Linked DNA regions of Oryzias latipes. The protein of the gene in region 1 interacts with the protein of each later gene in a pairwise test. Links are inferred from orthologs where the notes say so. Each region holds a gene or a part of one and is shown on either strand. Other genes may lie near its edges.

What was found.
Region 2: the proteins of ap1g1 (region 1) and ubl7 interact in binary tests that used the Homo sapiens proteins (3 or more experiments, as listed by UniProt). The two-hybrid records come from large-scale screens. The link is inferred for Oryzias latipes from reciprocal best matches to the Homo sapiens genes AP1G1 and UBL7.

Annotation. Positions count from the first base shown.
Region 1 is NC_019861.2:21,119,641-21,123,978, reverse strand, and holds the start of ap1g1 (AP-1 complex subunit gamma-1), read left to right. Parts: upstream 1-1,405; 5' UTR 1,406-1,507; intron 1,508-4,338. UniProt on the Homo sapiens protein: Subunit of clathrin-associated adaptor protein complex 1 that plays a role in protein sorting in the late-Golgi/trans-Golgi network (TGN) and/or endosomes.
Region 2 is NC_019861.2:28,019,078-28,023,351, forward strand, and holds the start of ubl7 (ubiquitin-like protein 7), read left to right. Parts: upstream 1-1,251; 5' UTR 1,252-1,341; intron 1,342-1,678; 5' UTR 1,679-1,681; coding exon 1,682-1,859; intron 1,860-1,977; coding exon 1,978-2,097; intron 2,098-2,181; coding exon 2,182-2,267; intron 2,268-3,864; coding exon 3,865-3,949; intron 3,950-4,026; coding exon 4,027-4,084; intron 4,085-4,154; coding exon 4,155-4,274.

The DNA.
Region 1 (4,338 bases):
GGGGAGCAAATATTTTAATTGTATAGAAACAGATGCTAATAAATTTTGTTATTCTGTATGAAAAATACGTATATATGTTTCATTTCGTATAACTACATACACACTTTATGGTTCTTATCTTATTTTGTGTGGCAAAAAAGAAAGCCCTAGTTTTTAATTCAATAATTATTGATTTCTTTTTAAATTAGCGTACTATATGTATGTTAGAAAAAACGTGAAAATTTATTGAACTCATACTTTGTTTGTTTAGTTATTTGCTTTTAATAAAACAAATACTATCATTTTTTCCATCCAGGATAAAGGCAAATTAGTCCAAAGTGTTATTTATTGATGTTTAAGTTTTAATCCCTCATATGTTGCTTTGCAAAATATGTAATTCGTCTTATTGAAGTTCAACTCCCGACACCTGTGGGAGACCCAAAAAATAACCTTAACAACAAGGACATGTTAGTCATGCATACATGTACAACCATCTTGAATAAAAAGATGTATACCGTAATTAAAATGTTTTTGCTTTAAATCACTTTTACCAACACTTAAATGTAGCATCAAAAATATAAAATGAAGCATTTATGAGAGCCAAATTCCATTTTAAATGATATTTTAATGCATATCAATTTAATCCAAATTCTCTCTTTAAATAATTGTTACATTGAATTTCAAACCTAATCTTTATTTATAAACTAAATATACTAAGTATAATTAAACCTTTGCATGGTTTTGGTCAATTGAACAAAAACAAAACAAGTCTAAATTGGTATCTCATCAAAAAATAAATTATTGTTTTAGATCAAACCTCAAGAGGATCCTCTTAAGAGGACAAGAGACACCGCTAGGTGGCGCTTTAATTTACGGTACCACTGAACTCTCACATTGCATGCAGTCGTCATCACTGTATGCCACGAGTAAACTGACCGCAGCACGCCTTCGAGACGGACAGTGTACTCATCCGCAAGGTTAAAGGATAATATTCTATCTCAACAAAAGAAACCTCGCCTTGTCATTTAACACATGTTTCATGTAAAATGTCAGACAACGCATCTCAGTGTAACCAGGAATCCAATCTCAAATAAATACGTTTCGAAACCTTTTCAAAAAGATAATCGAGAACCAGATGGTTAAAGAAAACAACAGGCTCTATTGCTAGCGCTTTATAATAACGGGAACAGACCGAGCGTGCATTGTAGAAAACTGATCAAATAGAATAATTGATTTAATATTACAAAAGACCAATAGTGACATAACGGAACTATTACCCATGGTGTCCTGTAAACAGAGCTGTATCAGGTGTAATCTCGGTCACAGTGGTGACTTCTCTGCTTCCAGCCGTTCCTGCGATGATGACAAACTTGAGCTGAACGCCTTTTACCATCCTCTGAGAGTGTAACCCTCCGCCTGCGGTAGATGTACTGAGGCTGGAGTAGCCACCATTTTGCATGTCTAGTGTGTTCCTCCCTCCATCGCTAATAGAGACGAGTCCAGTCCTTTTCTGGCGTCATTACGGCTAGTAAGTACTTTGAAACAATAACATATCGACAGAAATGTGATAAAATGTAATTTTCTTAAACAAAAAACATTACGCGTGTGTTCGTGTCTGCGTTGTTATCTCAGAGAGAGTGCCACTGCATAGGAAGTTGCAGCGCTCAGTGCGCCGGGGCAGTGCCTGTCAGTAAGCTAAGTTAGCTACCATGTAGAGCAGTGCTAGGTATCTACGGGCTTAGCTATGCAGAATTCCCAAGTGTTTTGTGAAATATTTATTGTGACAGCACCTAACGATGACTGTGTAGTTAATATTTCCACTACTGGACCACAGCTCTTGTCCTGTAACTTATACACTAGTTAACAGCGAACTGTCAGGTAGCGAGCTGACGGTAGTACAGGGGGCTAGCTAGCTAGTTTGTAATCCAAATGTTCCACGAAGGCCTAAACGCATCATGTCCTCTTCACTTGGTGAACTCAGTCAGGTGTCGTAGCTCGAGGTTAAACAAAACCACTTTTCTAATTATTTTGTATGTTCATGTTGTTAATATTAACTTCTTGCATTTTATCAAAAAGCGTGAGTAAGCGGTAAAGCCTCTGTTGTTGCTAAGGATGTCCAAACATGATCCCTTTCGAGTAAAATGGGCACTTTTTGTAAAGCTACTTTTTACTCAGTTGTTGTGCCTCGTCGTTAAGATACTTGACAGTTTGCTGGAGCTTTAGATGTGGTTTTTAAATATTTAAAAACTTTAAAATGTCGAGTCAAGTTAGCTTTTGACATCCAGGAAGCTATAGCTCACTAAAGACGTGAATTTGTTTTTATAATGTTTACAAAACAGTTGGTGTCATTGAAGCGTCTTCCTTAGTAGATTTCTGTAATGAAACATCTAATTAATTTCCATTATAGCACTTGTTGCTCAGGACTGGTTAACGTTAAGGAAGTCGAGGTATAAGTAGGAAGTGCGCTACGAGTGTGACGTTCTGCGTATCGACGTGTCTGCTGGGTTGTCTTTAGTGTTAATGTTTCTGTTGACCAGGACCAACACACCTTTCAGGAGTTCAGGGGCCTCTTGGCGTAGGTGAGGATAGGCTTACAATCATACTATAAATTAATTATTGGTTTACAATAATTGTTAATTAACATTTGGGGTTTGTTTTTCTCAACTCTTTCGTATTAAATGGTCAGTGAAAAATATTGAGTGTCTTGCCTTTTTACTTTAGGTCTGAGGCCTTAGTAACCACCAACACAAAGTATAAAAAATCCATTTTGTATTTTCAAGTTCAAAGGAAGTTTATGCATGTTAAGCAGCTTTGAATAGATGGAGTTAAAGGCCCTCTCCTGTTAAAATTGTTGGTGTTTTTAACATGTTCCCGTGGCATTGTTCTCATGATGGAGTACATATATGCATACATAGAAAATTAAGCTAAAAATAGAATTTCTGTGCATTTCTTTATTCAAATTGTTGTGAATCAAGAGCAGAAGAAAAAATGCACTTGGAAGAAGCTGTGACATAAGTCCCCTGTTCAGCTTTATTCTGATGCATCTACTTGTAGACTAATGGATCCAAATAGATTGGCATCTGGCGCAAAACTAAACAGCTGGATATCTCCGATATTGCTCGCCATTTTTGTTTCACCGTTAATGTTACGTTGGTGCTGTGAGGTACTGTACTAGGGAACCAGTGGGAGAGCACGTAAATAGATGATGGGAAGTAAGGGAAAGATTACAGCATGGCAATAGTCCCACCCACAACTCAGAGGTAATTTTCTAATGAGCAACAGATTACTAAGTAGTGAGTTAATAAGGGAAACTCCTTTAATGCTGAACTGTTTTGTTAGATGGATCAAATCTGTATATAAATGAATGGATTTGACCTTTTTAAATGCAAAGTTATCCCAATTTAATAAATGCTACTTGGCAAGTATTGAATCATTAAGATCCCAGATAAGTCCTGTTTTATTTGAGCTTTTGTTTGGGGCTGCTTCCCGATTGTTTTACTGCTCCTGTCACTAATGCAGTATTTTGTAGACTGGAAGAAGTGGCTAAAGATCTGCTGAACATATTGTGCATTTGCTTGGCTAATATAAGACTAGCAAAATAAAATGTCTGGGACCAAATGTAGTTTTGTTTAATGCAGATTTCCTCTTAACAAAGTTGCAAAGCATTATGGCCACCATTAATCCACATTATCTTGTTACTTTAGCCATTAGGACACAACTCCAATGTCCCCTCCTGTGACACACCCACATTAGCCAACTCCTCTGTTTTGCATTCAATCTGAAAGGGTTGTTCTTTTCACCCAGGGACATGGGGGTTGGTCATGCGTCTATCTTGGATTGCAATCTCCCCGAATTCATTGAAAACAAAATAAAATCCAAAATATATTTTTCATCCTGATTCTGTCCCTAAAACATGTCATGTCATGTGATTGACCATATTTCTCATCTCTAGAAGTGCTCATCCTGCAGTTTAAAATAATAAATCAGTCACTTCTTGGACAGATCTGAAAGCACAGTTTCATGAAAAGTTGAGCCACTTTTTGACAGGACACAAATAAAAACACCCAGCAGAATCTGTCGTGTGCTCTCTTAGGAATGGGGTCAGTAATTTTTTTAGGTGAAAATAATCTGCAGTGTCATGATTATTTATTAGCTCCAGCAACATGACAGCCAGGCTGATAGGATCATTTCTGCTGAGTCTGTGATTAGAACTGCAAGAGAGGCCTTCAAATAAAAAAAGGTTTTAGATTCACATAAACAAAAGTATGACCTCAACAGAAGTCTGAAATTGACAAGAGAGCAAAGTCTTCAGAGATGCCTTTTGTTTAACAGCCCACTTGAAGCTCATCCTTAGCTTTT
Region 2 (4,274 bases), about 6.9 Mb from region 1:
CATTTGCATTCAATATGTATTGTACCCCAGTTTTCTTTGGGGCCAGAATGATGGGGTGAAGTTCATTAGATTTGTAAATGTGTTTACTTTATTTTGAACAAAACAACTATATGAGTTAGAGTTTAATCAACGGTCCACCATGTTGAAAAGCGATAAATGTGCACACTCTCCATTTTGTTCAACAAGGATTAGGAAGAAGAAGCAGAGAGCTTTGTGAGCTCTCCCCATAAAATATGTATGAATGCAAAACATCAGTCTCTCACTCACACCTTCCATTATTCATTCAAGCTCACTATGTCTCCCTTCTATACTCAAAAACAAATACAATGATGGAACTGGAGGACAAGTGCTAGTGAGCTTTTCGTTTCACTCAGAATTAACACTCTCTGGGCTTGCATGCGCTCGCTTATGTTCAAATTTATCTGCAGATTAAACGCTTCAGAGAACACTCTCATCTTGGCTATAAGCAACATTAGATTTAGTGCAATACGTTTCCGGTCAAATTTATGGAAACACTGGAGGGACTGTCTTTTTACTTGTCATTGTAATTAAGGTTTTTACAGTGTAGTATGTATATGTAATCTTTTTATCTTGGTATTTATTCTTATCCTTTTTAATTAATTTGTTTGTATTAAGTATTTTCTATTAACTTTTTTATGAACTGTAACTATACACTGTACCTCAGCTGTGTATTCTTGACACTGTATTTTTTTTTTAAATGTGGTGGGTCTGTGTACTCCTTTTTACTGATTGGACCATGAGTCTGGAATAAATTCTATCTATCTATCTATCTATCTATCTATCTATCTATCTATCTATCTATCTATCTATCTATCTATCTATCTATCTATCTATCTATCTATCTATCTATCTATCTATCTATCTATCTATGAAACTTCATGGGATTAAGGAAACATGGAAGGACACATTTATGGTGTTTGAAAAATTTGTGCAATGAGGACAGAATTACAAACTAAATTGGTAATAAAGCAGCAGTTCAATGAAAACATCATAAAAAGTATTTTAAAAATATTCAAGGAAAGGTACACAAAGGACATATACTTGGCACGTAATTAGTTGATCATACTACTAACCCATATGTCCTCGTAGGCTCGTTTTTATGAAGTACCGCTGAGAAACAGCTGTGAAAGAAAATTAGAGGAAGTGGCAAACTAGACAGAAAAGTGTTCATGGGGATTTACGAATGTGCAACAGATGTGGAAAGGTTGAACAGGAAAGCGATGGGACAAGAAAAAAGGTCTTTGCTCGTGGAGTGGACGTGAACGCAACACGAGTCACGTGATTACAAATCCCGGAAGTGAAACGAGTGTCAACAGAGCGGTGAGTCTGCATCTTTCTTTTTATTCATAGGGTTGTTTCTTGTTCAGTTTTTAAATACATAAATAAATAAAATGTTCGGAAACTTTTATTTGAAATGTTCACAAGAAGCAAAATAATGTTTAATTAAGAAAAAACGTCACTACACGGCTGTCCTCTGTTCATTTTTTAAACAACCGTTTAGGTAATTGTTAGTATTGTAAATGTTCTCTAAACATGTAAACTTGTTTTAAAAGTCACTTGACAAAAAGATGCATCTTTAAGCAAAGGCACACATTTTCGGGTTAGCTTTAAGCTAACGGGGCATTCAAAACAGATGTCCCTGCTCTTGTTTGCGCAGACAATGATGGCGTCCTCAGACTGGCGCTTGTCTCTGAAACTGGCGGACCAGCCCAAATCCACCTTTCACTTCCCCGAGATGATGCCCGGAGATGTCCCACCTGGAGGATACAGAGTCGCCACCTTGAAGCAGCTTGTAGCAGCGCAGCTGCCAGACTCCGTCCCAGACCCTGAACTCATAGGTTTGTTAGCAGCAGAAATGGCTGCCTGTTGTTGTTGTTGTTGTTGTTGTTGTTGTTGTTGTTGTTGTTGTTGTTGTTGTTGTGTGTGTGTATAACTTGTTGTTCCTTGTTTTCCCAGAGCTGGTCCACTGTGGGCGAAAGCTCAAGGACGAGCTGACACTGGACGCCTGTGGGGTCCAGCCGGGATCCACAGTACACATTCTGAAGAAGACATGGCCAGAGCCGGAGAGCAGTCCAGGTCCGTGTCTGCTGCTGCGGTCAGAAGCTCTTGAAAGTCTCTCCCCATCACCGACACCTCGGCTCCGGATTTGTGTTTTTGCAGAGCCGGTGAACAGAGTGACTGCAGCCAGAGAGTTCCGGGTGTTCCACGCCGCTCTGCATTCGCTCAATTCAGCCTACAGAGACGCAGTGAGTCCATAACCAACAAAGACCCACTCTGTGTCCCGATTCCTTCACTACTCACTACATAGCCTACAAAGCTCCTAATACATGTTCTGATAACAAAAGTACCACAAAGATTTATTAATCTATTTATTTATTTATGTACTAAAAGTCTATATTAAAATTAGCAAGGCTCTAAAAAGAACTTAAATAAAAAAAAATCTCTTTTTGTCATTTTAAACTATTGGGTATATTTTGGAATTCGCTGAATGATATTAATAATTGTAGAAAATGTTTTGGAAACATCCATAAATCTTATGGATTGGATGGAAAAATCATAACTGTACAATTCTAACGCTTCCTGCTCAGTTTTTACACACAAGTGTGAGAAACCGAGCTTCAAAGCAGAGATGGCAAAACAGTTTACTTTTTTTTTTTAAAAAATGGGCAAAAAATTGTTCAAATGATGAAACTATATGAGATTCTACCAAACAGAAGTTGGATTTCGGAGCCAGAATCAGGGAGGACTGGAATCCCAGCAGCCCTCGGAGCGCTGGAACCCACAACATTTTTTTGGTCTTGCCATTAAAAACTGATCCCAAAAAAAAAGATCACCTAAAATCTGTTTTGTAGAATTCCAGAAATCTTTACAGCATGTTTTTACAGGTTTGTTTGAGTTTTGCAGTGATGGACTCTCATTTAATGTCTCACCTGGAGATCATTTCTCGTTCAATGGTTTCGTTTTACTCCCCAAGGTTTCCACTGTTTGTCTTAAATCACTATTATTTTTACTTATTATTATACATGTATATATTTTCCCCATATTTGTCTTTTTTTGAGCACATTTGAAGCCGTTTGTTGCACATATTGAATAGAAATATGGATGAACAGTTATGTCTCTGCCAAAGCACCTGTCTGAAACGGTGAAAGCTGATTCGCTGTGGCGACCCCAGACAGGATAAGTCAACTTATACATAAAAGAGCTAAAAGCTTCTGAATCTGAACAATCTTACTTGTTTTGTATTTTAGGATCTGGTGGTGAGCAGGATCTTTTGCTTGGTGTTTTTGGCTGAACTGGTAACTTTAGCACTGAAGACAATTTTTTGAAAATCATCAAAACCTCAGCCTGTTCTGCATTTACGTGGTGTAAAAAGATTCAGTTGGAATCAAAATGGAATCAGTAAAATCAGTTGTTTTGTTCTTGTTTGGACACTAAAAGCATCTAGACTTTGAACCAGAGGACAGGAACTCAAATGCTTCATGAATAGAAGCAGTCCGATTCTGAATGCTGGTTGTTCGGGAGTCAAATATTCTGGACGTTTTGGATCCAAACCAAAGCAGCTGCTGTTGGATTCTTCCATTTACTAATATTTTGACTCTGCAAAGGAATTTGGCTCCGGTGATTACATTCCTTTCCATTTGGCTGTCCGCACACCTGTCTTCACCGCAGTCTGGCTGTGATTAGATCACCTCCAATGCTTTTTATAGCTGTAGCTGAACAAAATCCCGGCCGGCGTTTGGTTATTCAGCTGGATCAGACTCTGACAGTAAAGGCTGGCGGAGCTCCATGGCAGTAATGGGAGCACTCGGCTTCTAAAAATCTGTGTTTGCTCTGAACTCTCAGGTCTATAAAATGCTGACGAATAAGGAGTCTCTGGATCAGATCATTGTAGCCACACCCGGCCTCAGGTCAGACCCGGTCGCTTTAGGTGAGAGCTGGACCAGCCACTTCCTGTGGGATATCTTTCGTGCATCGTAATGCTAACATTTCCCCTTCAATCTTCAGGAGTGCTTCAGGATAAGGATCTCTTTGTGCAGTTCACGGATCCAAACATGCTGGAAGTGTGAGTGGGACTTCTCAGTGTCCTCTGGTGACCCACAAGCTTCCGTTTAACAGTCGTGTCTGTCTGGTAGGTTAACCAGTTCCCACCCGGCACTGGTCAACGCCATCATCCTGGTCCTGCATTCAGTTGCAGGAAGCATGCCGACTCAGTCCAGTGCCAGCTCCTCCCGCTCTGCCAGCTCTTACAGTGA